3 linked regions of the Daphnia pulex genome follow. Each later gene encodes a partner of the first gene's protein in a complex. Links are inferred from orthologs where the notes say so. Each region holds a gene or a part of one and is shown on either strand. Other genes may lie near its edges.

Region 1 (3,429 bases):
GGTAGGATGTATCGCCGTGCAGTTGCTGAAAGCCTGGGGTGGGCATGTTACTGCTACTGTCAGTTCACGGGCAATGATTACCGCCCAGCAATTGGGTGTAGATGAACTTATTCTTCATAATGGCCATGATTTGGATTTTGATTCTTTGCTGTCGTCTCTTCCTAAGTTTGACCTTGTGCTCAATACCGTTGGCTCGATTTTGCACGACTCGTGCCGTGTCCTCTGTCGAGAAGGAGGTTTGGTAGTTTCAACCGTCGCCTCCCCACCTGCGTCTGACAAATATGGCTTGTTTTACGGATCACTCTACTCTATGTGGCTTCGAATGAAACTCGTATTTCTCAAGGTTAGTCCAGCCCAGCTCCTGAAAAGCTTCCAAGCATTAAATGACTAACTTCCACCTGTTCTTAGAGTTCTATTTGTGGTTCGACCGTAATATCCACCTCAATTTTGGATGAAATCTCAAATCTAGTCAACAAAGGACATCTTCAACCAGTTATTGAGCGCGTGTTTGAAATTGATCAAGCTGAACAAGCCGGACAATACGCCGCCCAGGGTGACCACATCGGGAAAATCATCATACGATTTAGGTACTGCTAAAAAAATATACAAAAGAATCTTCACTCAAGTTGTGTAATCGGAGCGGAGTTGCGCCAAGCGCAGTAATTTCCATCGTCTGTAAAAAATAAGAGTGCGGTATATCTTTATTCTTCTTCTTCCGCTTCGCCTTCTTCGCCACCTTCCTCTCCGCTTCCAGCGTCATTGGCTCCTGCTCCCTCAGCTTCCATGTCAGATTGATCGTCATCACCTGTTGATAAATATGCCCAGCTATATAGATTCTTTTCGTAATTATACATCCGACTCCATCCTTACCTGCGATTTCAGCATTCTCCAACTCAGCCTTCTCCATCTGGCGAGCCAATTCAGCTTCATCCATAGCAGTAACAACTTTGGGCTGTTAAAATAGAAATTGCGTTATACTTAGGTTGTTGATCTGTAGACGAGAGATGAACTTACAGCCATTTGAATGTTGAAAACGCCACCAAGTGCAACAATTATCTCTTTCACTTTTTCTATGGCTAATTCTAGTCCTTTGAGTCCGTCTTGACGTTCAGGCGTCTGCGTAGTCATGACGTAAAGTGGTGGAGCAATCAAGTTAATTTTTATAGGAATCTCTTCAGTGGAGCAGGCAATTCCAGCTTTCAAAGCTTTCTTAACGGCACCAATTCCTTCGTAGCCATAACAGGCCACCTCGATGTCAGCTCGGATTTTCACAGCTTGCTGAGTCAGCTTCCGCCTAATAATCCCCAGTAGCACTTCCTTTGTGTTGTCATCCAAGCCGCATTCGTCAAGAAGAGAAGGATCACTACATATTCAAAATAAACTAATATTATGTTCTTGAAATTTTAGGAACCGGCCATTGAACCGTATGGAGGGATTTGCATAGAAGCTGCACAGGAACAAGGTGTGCCAAATTTGTGAAATGTAGTAATGTAACAAAACTAACTGGGGTTGAATAAAGAAAAAACTTACTTGACAGCTTGCTTGAAGACATCATATGAAGAAGATTGCTTTTTGGATTTCTCCTCAAAAAGCCAAGCTGTTTTTCTGTAGAGTTCCTCAAGCTCTTCATCAGTCTGATATTTCAAGAGTTCAGCAACATGTCTTAAAATTGAATTTACTGCCTTGGCCTTGGAATACTTCTCCAAGCATTTGTCTACATCCTCAGGGCTAACACGTCTTTTTGACAGATCAATATAACCTGTGGTGACATGAAGAAAATTGGTTATTTAAAGAAACAACCCAAACAGTAAATTAAACAAACCTTTTTCCTTGTCAACCCTGATAACTACAACTGGTTCTGTTTTACCAACTCTGATGAGCTTGTTAATGGAACGGATACGCCTCCTGGACAACTCAGAGAGCAAGATCATGCCCTCAATATTGTTGTACTCTAGTAGGTGCACATAAGCTCCCATCTCAGCAATGGATCTCACATTCACCATCACTACATCATCCACTTCTGGATATTTTTGACCGTAGTACCGACAAAATAAGGGCATTTTTCACGATGGCAGCCTAGGTGGATGGTGAACAATACCGACATTTTAGATAGCGAAATTACAGCTTTCCTCCACGTTAAAGATTATGTTCTCTAAGCTAGAATTTTTTTTCTATTCCTAAATTACCTAACGTATTAAGAAGAAAGAATAAATGTGAGGGATTATCCAAAAAATAAGGTGATGCCGGGACAGCAGCGTTTCTTACGTCAGCAATGAAAATCCACTGGACAAGCAGACTACGGTAAAAGCATGTGGAAAGTCCCGCGTTGCCAAAATGGTGCGCAATCCGATAACGTGATTCGCATTCCCGTGTTTCGTGATTTGTTTTAAAAATAAATATGTATCCATAATTTGTTTAACGAAACCAATTTCAATTGATATCCAATGGCTTAATTACGGCTTGAACATATTCACCACAAATTCTGCATTAACAACATCTCCAAACCAAACGTTTATTGACCGGCCTGAGATAAGAATTGTTTTTTTTTTTAAGTATCACATTTAGAAAGTAGACGTTGAAGTGAAAGCTGGTTTGATAGAAACGATCGCGCATCAAACCTATTGACCTGACCAATCGCACTATTTTCTTATCTATCTTTCCTATCGTTCTATATGAGAAACGCTCAAAAAAGTTACTATCTGCACACAGTATACGCACGAATATGACGAACACAAACATTAAAAACGAACATTCGTCGTCGTCGTTTGTCGGCACCATTCAGTGGAACCTTCCAGTGTGTTTCTTTTGGTTGTTGTATCACCCAGTTTCAAAATTCACTGCACACCGTGTAATTTACTTATAGCGTAAAAATGATACGGTTCACTGAAGAAGATGTAACCAATAATGGAGAAGTTACCGATGTTTACTTCAATGATAATCGAGTCAGAAGAATACTAAAATCCATGTACACCGTCAACAGTGCGATTACTCTCCCATCGCTCGTTCTTCTGATTCCGGCAAGTAACACACAAAACTCAGTTTAAGAGGAAAATGATAATTTTAAAAAATGAAATTGTTGTTGTCATTGAAGATATTGGCAAGTTTTATGGATCCCAGCCGAGACTACATATTGTTTTTATGTCTTGGACTATTTCCATCCATCTGCATTTGTCAGATCTCTGCATTCATTGCAAAAGCTGCTAAAAAGAACAGAAGTATCAAATTGTAAATAACAAAATATTAACTATACTGCCATCTGTTTTTCTGAACGGTAACGTGATTTTATTATTTAGATTAAAGGCGTCAGCTGTCCTTGCCGTTTGCTATTGCGTACTCGGTATCTTGGGACTTATCTCAGTGGGCGCACTTCTCGTACTTTGCTGCAAATCGTGCGAGAGACCGACCTGTAATGTGGTTACTAATATCCGA
Region 2 (3,681 bases), on another chromosome or scaffold:
ATTTCTGATGAGCTTTATCTCCAGTAGAAACTAGAACTTTGTTTAGAATGTCTTCAATGTTATCCCGTAGCCTTTCTGAATAGGCAGCAACAGCATCTTGCTCTTTTTCTAAGGCATTAAACTTCATTTCCTTCAGGGTATGATTCAGACATAGTTCTGTTATTTTATGTTTCTTCCCAGAAGGAGGTAGGGATGAGTCTACCGCAGCACAAGCAGCTGTAAAAACTTCATAGTGAACAAATTGACAAACAATATCCACAACATTTCATTACCTCGAAAAGTTGAACCAGAACCACCACCAGTAATACTTCTGTTAAGACTTGGTCTCCTCTTTATGAAGTCATCAATGTTGTTTCTTTCTCTTGGAAATTTCTCCGGAATGTGGTCTTTATTTGGCTCATTTAACATCTTTTTCCTCACAGTTTTCTGTAGTTGTCTCAATTAAACTTTGTTATTATTCCCTAATTTTGATTGTTAAAAAGTTAGAGCTAAATTAGCACCAACGCTAACAACTTCAACGGTTTCCAATTTGAAGTGCATCGTTCGAAACGCCACCTTGCGACAGATGACCTTACTGCATGTTATATTTTCCACACGCGCAGGAAAATGTCTAAAATCACAAAAAAAGTGACATGAACGTGTATTTTATTTACACATTTATCGATGTTTTTATATTTAGACGACTCTCTTTCATAGATAAAGTTTAATTAATTCATCACTGACGGCTGATGGAGTGAGAATTCCCAAATCTGTGAAAAGCAAAGTCAAATATCCTGGTGGCGTGTAATCAACTTGAGGATGCTGATCGAGAAGATTAGAATGATTGGATTCAATAATAGTTGACGAGAACTAAAAAAATTCAACACAAGTTTCAGCATTATGGAAAATTGGTTAAAAAATTTAACATACTTTCAGTTCTTGGGGTAAATCGCGTTGGTTCAGCGGGTAGAGACGGACAAATTTGAAGCTCTCAGCGAGAACGTAAAAGGGTTTGTGCATTTCCTTGGCACACAGCGCCATAGTATATGTTCCAATCTATTTCAATAAATTTTTCAATTTTTTTAAATAGTCAAATAAATATATTTTATCCGTACCTTATTGATAATGCCTCCGCTTTCAACAACACCTTCAGCTCCAACAAGCACTAAATCCACTGATTCCATGACATAACCCATGGCCGAATCCAAAATGAGAGTCGAACCAATACTGTGTTTCAATAGCTCGTCTCTCATAGCGACACCACTTAGATCCGGGTGAGATTCAGTGATGAAAACATGGAAACGTTTTTTGGATATAACAGCTGCTTCAACTAGTGTTTGTAGAACCACTCTTGATTTGGAGTGAGTGAGGATTTTGTGTCCATCAAGAATAAAAGGAGCCCCTAGTCTTGCAATTTTAGGTCTAGCCTCTTGTAATTTCCTTAGAAAAATTTCTCCTCGTTTCTTCATAATCTCCTTGCAATCTTTGAAATTCTAAAAAGAATGTTTTATTTTAAATCTATTAAAAATTTATGATTCATATTTATAGACAACATACTGATTGTTCAAGAGAAGTAAGTGTGATAAACCGTTGAAACAGTTCACAGCCTGATTGAACTGATGTAATTGAGCATTCAGCTTTCTTCATTTCTTCTGTTGCTTTTCTCAGTTCTTCCGACAATCCACGAAGAGTTTCACCTGTGAATATGATAGTCTTTAATGTTGATAATGATTATGCTTATAGATATTATTTTGTTTTTACTAACCATCACCAAAGTTTTCCAATATATTCATTAATGTGCGGATAGCTGCAACAGCTGCTGAAACATCCGGCTCTTCTTTCACAATTTTTTGGAAAAAATCCAATACATTTCCTAAAAGCACATTGATTACATTAGTTTTTTTATTAACATTATTTAATAACTAAACCTACTTGTATTTTCCATTTTATACTTATATCTTTTTTGCGCACTAGTAAACTTTTTTCCTCTCTACTTAACTTGGAGTTTCAGCTAGAAGAGCAGCACAGCAGCTTGCCAGCTTGCCACCGTTCCAGCAGCAGACGACACAATGAAAAGTCAACACTCCAGTCAGTCAAAACACTTGAGTACTGTACTTGTTTCTGATTGGCCCTCACCGATTAGTCCCAGGGAAGGATCTGCCGAGAGCCCTAGATTGATATGTCCATTATGTCACACGCAACCGCAAACATTCATAAACTGCTGTTATCGTTTGATGAAAGAAGAATACTTAAGTCATTCTATTCTTTTCACATTCCGCGTTAAAAACAAAAATGTCGTCGTCAACGTTGCCATTCTTCATCGTGCATGCACACAGGTACGGGTAGGGTAGCACCGGTAGCACGACCGACGAGCGACGACCGCACGGCGCACGAGATATCTGTCGAAAGTGAAATAAACGTTCATTTTGCATTTTTTTTTTTATTTTTTTAACCATAGTTTATTTCAAGATTTTGTGAATTTGTCAGATGAAAACCACCCGAAACATTTTAGACAAGGTGCAATTTTAGGTGCTTTGCTTCAAAACAAAGTGGTGTGTAAATAAAAGTAAGATTATTGGAACTTTTTGTTGTCTTATCCATTCAATTAAACTAATTTAAACAATCATTCCTCTTTTTCATATTCCACATAGGAAGGAGAGCAGGATGTACGAGGAAACCAACCGCGCAGTGCTCGGCGCTCAGTTGGATTCATTTGAACTTGACCCCTTTCTTGAATTTCGCCGTAAAGCCAATATCTGATTAAAGGACAATTATAAAAGTTTTGAAAGGCAAAAATTTCTTGTTGGAAGTTGTTTTTATCATACTTTTTCCATCGAGTAACCGCCACCTTATCTCCAATCTGCAGAGAGATGCGTGTCTCGTCGGTGTATGGTGGCTGAAGACAAACCATAATGCCGAAACTAATAATAGGGAACCACCTTCCACTGTATGCTTTCTCTACTACGTATTCTACGCAGCGTTCCCTTTTAATCTTTTTCTGTTCAATTTGTTCAATCTGTCAAAAATGAATAAATAGCTATAAAAGGTAGAAAATCTATAGAACTATGCATAGGATTATACCGTGAAAGCGTATGGATGGCAATTGTCCCGGACTTTCCACTCGATGCCATCACCTTTAGGCTGGAAAGAGAAATTTATTACTTCAACCAGATTCTTTCGCCATCCTAAATTGTAGGGGTGAATGAAAGAGGGTTCATCGGTTCCTTCTCGACGATAAACAGCTTTTTCATGAACCCAGTCTTCAATGCCTGTTTGATTTCTTAAAACCACTTTCATCTATGAAAGAATCAATCACTTTTAGGTTAAATAAAGAACATATAATCCAAAGAAATTCAAACCTGGACAAAAAATAGAAAACCAACAGCAAACACTACTCCGGCTGCTAATCCTAAGGAAATCAGACTCATCACAAAAGGCCATAGTCCCAATATTATAAAAGGCACTTCTCGTAGATTTGAATGGTCGTAGTAATCAAATGTCTATTTTTAAACAATATGATTCGTTTTTAAATTGTTTGTAACAAGCATACAAATTTTAGATTTAGCCAACCGGGTGAAGAGCTCTGTACATGGTGCATGAAATTATTACGATGGCTTGGGCGCATCCAATAACAGCGGAAATGAGGAATGCTAACGAAACAATGGTGATTTATGAAACATAATATGAATGATTAGGTATTAT
Region 3 (3,509 bases), on another chromosome or scaffold:
AACACGTCCACACCAGATAAACCCAATAACAGCACCTTAATGCGAGCACTCCAAAACGCCGAAAAACAATGGACTGGCGCGATTGCTTTGATGCAGCTGGCCTCTTCAAGTTCGCAGTGCTGAAAAGAAAATGAACATAATGAATTCACCAAAGTTTTGTCTCTCTCAATAACCTATCCTTCCAATTCTGTCAATTTCTAATCTGCTGTTCCATTTCCTTGTAATTGCTCAGTGAAAAACGGTATTATTTTCGCTTATTATGATATTTCTCCATTTCCATCACTACTTTATTTTGAGAACTCTTTCTCGTACCTGAAAGATGAATCGACTGTTCTCTTCACTACTTATTTAATTTACTCTCTCCTTTCGATCCAGTGTCTTGATGAAGCTTTAACCAATCGATTCGTGCTTTTGGTGTTTACTCTTTTAATCTTGCTGATAGAGAAGACCAATACTTAGAACCCAACTGTAGTTTTGAAACGAAACAAAAATTCACTCCATGTTCGTAATTTTCTTAGTGCTGTGTGTTTATGTATCTCGGCCTTTTTAATACAAAGCCATTTTTTCCCACATTACAATTGCACGTCCAAAGGGTGGTACAGTTCACTGAGGAGTCGGTAGATGTAAGACGGTGCATTGCCTCCGCTAGAGAAACAAGTGTGATTATAAAATAGATACTTCTTCATTATCTTCAAACTATTTAAAAATAATTCGCTTACGTATTTGAAATAAAGAGTGTGACGAGCTCTGGAGGTACGTAGTCGAAAATTGGATTGTAGACGTTCACTTTGGAAACGAGCTTGCCTTCGTCGTTGTTCAATACTTCCTCGGGTGACACAAACTGGTTGAATCCATCTTGATCAAGGCTACAGACATATTCGGGACAGAGTTTAAACATTGGTGCACATACGACGAACTGAAATCATAAAAAATAAATTATTTTAGCTGAAAGTGTAGGCCTACAAAACTTATTCCATTACCGGAACCGAATAATGCTTTGCAGCCAGTGCAAGGGTATGAGTGCCACACACTGCTTTTAGACCACCGTTGGCCATAACAGAATGAGTACCGATGATTACTTTATTCACACGTGCCATCATTGCGAAAATGGCAGAATCCGGAATAAGGGTAGTAGAGATACGAGCTTCGGCTAAATCTGCAGCCAATTGATGTCCCTGTAATAATAGTCTGGAGTAAATATACAGGTGTTATGCAAATAAACGTTTTCAAATTCGCTGCCTACGTGGAAAAATGGAGCACATTCAGCAACGATGACCTGGAAAACACGATTTTTCGCAGCTGACTTCAGAAACGCCGAGACAGTTTTAGAATAACCAATAGTCATGATGATTTCGTTAGCGTGAATGTGTTCTAGGGCCTGGGCGGAAATGTCGATTTCACTGTGGAAACAAATTAAGGTAGTTGAATAGGCTGTGAAGCTAGACATGTGGTAAATTCTCAAACCTGGATTCTAATTCGGCAAGGAACTCTCCAATGTGCTCCATGATGGCTGGTTTGAGCAAGGGGATGTTTTTAGTGTAATCAGAATCACTTTCATCTGCTGTGAGAATTTTTTGAAGTGAGTCTTGCAAATCAGATTCTTCTTGTTTTCCTTTCTGCAGCATGGCATACTCATCCCTGACAATCTTTAACATTCTTCTTGTCATGTTGCCAATGACTGTTTCTGAAGGTGCAGTCTCTGCCAAATCTTTACCTATTCTTTTTATGGTGTCCATAAGCTCCCTACAGATTGAATTGAATCACTTAATAACTGGAACAGGAATTCTGGACTTGAGATAAACTAACAAACCTTGCATTCTGCCATTTCATTTGACCAATGATTTTTTTCCAAAGCTGTACGGAATTAAGGGCCAAGTCTCTCGATCCTTTGAACTTTCTACGAATAAAAAGAAACACAGAATGTCAATAACGAGATGGAATAGCCAGCATTACTTCTATGGCCTATAACAATCATACCTTTGCTTAAGATTGTTGGTGAAAGTTTCAATTATACCTTCAATTTCACTTTCAAGACTCGGCATTTTCACACTGATTTTCTATAATTTATTCTGAAATAACTGGTTTAAAGACAGATAATAAAGTGAAGTAGTTCACTGGAGAAAACGAGAATTTTGCAGCGTATTGTTTATTTACAAAGTTCGTCTGCAACTGCAACTGCTACTGCGCGAGTGCCCGATCGCTCAAATACGTACATCATCTTTCGAAGAAAGCCTCTGAAAAAGCGATCTGGTTCGTTATGGTTGGTTATGCCTGGGCTTATGGCATATCCATATCTCTATAGGCCCTACCATACCCCTGGTTATGGTTGGTTTGATAACAGAGTGAGTGTAAGATAAGTAGATAAATTCGTCATCTTTTATGCTTTTACTCGTTATCTTTTATTGTCGTTGCGCACACCTTTAAATTTGTGTTATCTATGATAATTCAACCAATAAGATTATTGGTGCGATTACAATCAGCACTGCCTTAATACCCAATCTAAAACGATAGCCAATCCCGATTGCGTAAAATGTGCAAGTGTACACTCTACGTCAAGACAAAATGTCATCCATAAATTCAGAGTGATTTCGCGTTAACGTTTAATGTTTTTGGGTCTTACTTTGATATGTATCCGGGGCGTTGGAATCAACCACATAATAATATTACGTCAAAGATCGTCGTAACAATTTACGGCCAAGTTTTGATTAGGTCGAAGTAAAATTTTTGGTGAGGGAGCTTTCACCTAACAGCACCACTACCTTTCTCGGTAAAAATGGGCGGCCACACGCTGTCAAGAGGTGCTGCTTAACTATATACAAAACTTGGATCAGCGAACACACGAAGAAAGACAATGGGAAGATCTGACCTGAACCTGTGGGTAAAAAGACAATGGAAATAAAACCCGAATCATCCCACATGGAAAAATGCCATAAAACCCCTCGTCGTGAAAGAGGAAAAATCTGAATTTCAACTTGGTAACAACTTGGTAACACTTCCAAGTTGGATTTCGCTCCTGCATTTATATTCATTCCGTCGTATACGTACAGTATATATTGTGACTTGTTTTTCACGATTACTCTTGACACAATTTTAAATGAATGATGGGCTTCTTACGCTGTCGCCTCTTTAGAATGTTTTTCACATCCTACTACATTTGGAGCAGCGAAATTAGACATTGTCGGGAAACTTATTTTTGTTCGTTTCTGGTGGGCCCTGGTGCCTACGTCTTAATCAATACATCGCCGGCGAAATAATGTGACAGCTAAAGTAAATAAAGACAAACCTGTAGGCGTCGGATACAAGACCATTGATTGAATAAAGCGATAATTTAATCACGGGACGCTCGATGGTGTCTAAGTACCGGGAGCAAGCCCGTTTATTTATAAACAACAATGGAGTCGGAATCAAATTGATTTTGATGTTTTCCGGCCAAAAAAAGAAAAAAAAAAGTTTAATATCTTGACCTATATCTTTGCTGCTGTTTGTGTGGTGGTAAGGCGGCAAATAAA

Evidence for each region.
Region 2: the proteins of eukaryotic translation initiation factor 2 subunit 1-like (region 1) and translation initiation factor eIF-2B subunit alpha-like are in contact, whole or in part, in a cryo-EM structure (PDB 6K72), measured with the Homo sapiens proteins. The link is inferred for Daphnia pulex from reciprocal best matches to the Homo sapiens genes EIF2S1 and EIF2B1. Residues at the interface, in NP_004085.1 of Homo sapiens: Ala28, Glu29, Met30, Tyr33, Gly44, Met45, Leu47, Leu48, Arg75, Lys80, Tyr82, Ile83, Asp84, Arg88; in NP_001405.1 of Homo sapiens: Gly39, Thr41, Ile42, Gln43, Gly44, Leu45, Arg46, Ala47, Asn48, Glu70, Arg74, Ser77, Ser80, Leu81, Glu82, Tyr83, Ser84, Asp85, Tyr86, Cys89, Leu305.
Region 3: the proteins of eukaryotic translation initiation factor 2 subunit 1-like (region 1) and translation initiation factor eIF-2B subunit beta-like are in contact, whole or in part, in a cryo-EM structure (PDB 6K71), measured with the Homo sapiens proteins. The link is inferred for Daphnia pulex from reciprocal best matches to the Homo sapiens genes EIF2S1 and EIF2B2. Residues at the interface, in NP_004085.1 of Homo sapiens: Leu51, Ser52, Arg53, Arg54, Ile56, Asn60, Lys61, Leu62, Arg64, Arg67, Lys87, Ser91; in NP_055054.1 of Homo sapiens: Glu92, Arg95, Gln128, Ser131, Asn132, Glu135, Ala136, Glu139, Val142, Glu143, Glu145, Glu149, Asn150.

What each region holds. Positions count from the first base shown.
Region 1 is NC_060028.1:8,095,355-8,098,783, reverse strand, and holds eukaryotic translation initiation factor 2 subunit 1-like, read right to left. Parts: upstream 2,349-3,429; 5' UTR 2,187-2,348; intron 2,077-2,186; 5' UTR 2,061-2,076; coding exon 1,823-2,060; intron 1,760-1,822; coding exon 1,531-1,759; exon of another isoform or gene 1,445-1,530; coding exon of another isoform or gene 1,408-1,444; intron 1,364-1,407; coding exon 1,015-1,363; intron 953-1,014; coding exon 871-952; intron 806-870; coding exon 702-805; 3' UTR 617-701; downstream 1-616. Other genes in the region: reticulon-4-interacting protein 1 homolog, mitochondrial-like, read left to right, coding at 1-343, 409-587, 1,408-1,444; uncharacterized protein LOC124208437, read left to right, coding at 2,871-3,017, 3,092-3,225, 3,294-3,406. UniProt on the Homo sapiens protein: Member of the eIF2 complex that functions in the early steps of protein synthesis by forming a ternary complex with GTP and initiator tRNA. This complex binds to a 40S ribosomal subunit, followed by mRNA binding to form a 43S pre-initiation complex (43S PIC).
Region 2 is NC_060023.1:2,531,169-2,534,849, reverse strand, and holds translation initiation factor eIF-2B subunit alpha-like, read right to left. Parts: upstream 2,276-3,681; 5' UTR 1,925-2,275; coding exon 1,912-1,924; intron 1,853-1,911; coding exon 1,745-1,852; intron 1,677-1,744; coding exon 1,537-1,676; intron 1,473-1,536; coding exon 1,095-1,472; intron 1,036-1,094; coding exon 910-1,035; intron 850-909; coding exon 691-849; 3' UTR 624-690; downstream 1-623. Other genes in the region: uncharacterized protein LOC124198557, read right to left, coding at 1-216, 273-408; palmitoyltransferase ZDHHC6-like, read right to left, coding at 2,603-2,735, 2,805-2,995, 3,061-3,276, 3,339-3,479, 3,550-3,629.
Region 3 is NC_060019.1:5,860,704-5,864,212, forward strand, and holds translation initiation factor eIF-2B subunit beta-like, read right to left. Parts: upstream 2,183-3,509; 5' UTR 2,043-2,182; coding exon 1,978-2,042; intron 1,898-1,977; coding exon 1,811-1,897; intron 1,744-1,810; coding exon 1,465-1,743; intron 1,401-1,464; coding exon 1,244-1,400; intron 1,176-1,243; coding exon 981-1,175; intron 917-980; coding exon 720-916; intron 646-719; coding exon 573-645; 3' UTR 507-572; downstream 1-506. Other genes in the region: asparagine-rich zinc finger protein AZF1-like, read left to right, coding at 1-123. UniProt on the Homo sapiens protein: Acts as a component of the translation initiation factor 2B (eIF2B) complex, which catalyzes the exchange of GDP for GTP on eukaryotic initiation factor 2 (eIF2) gamma subunit.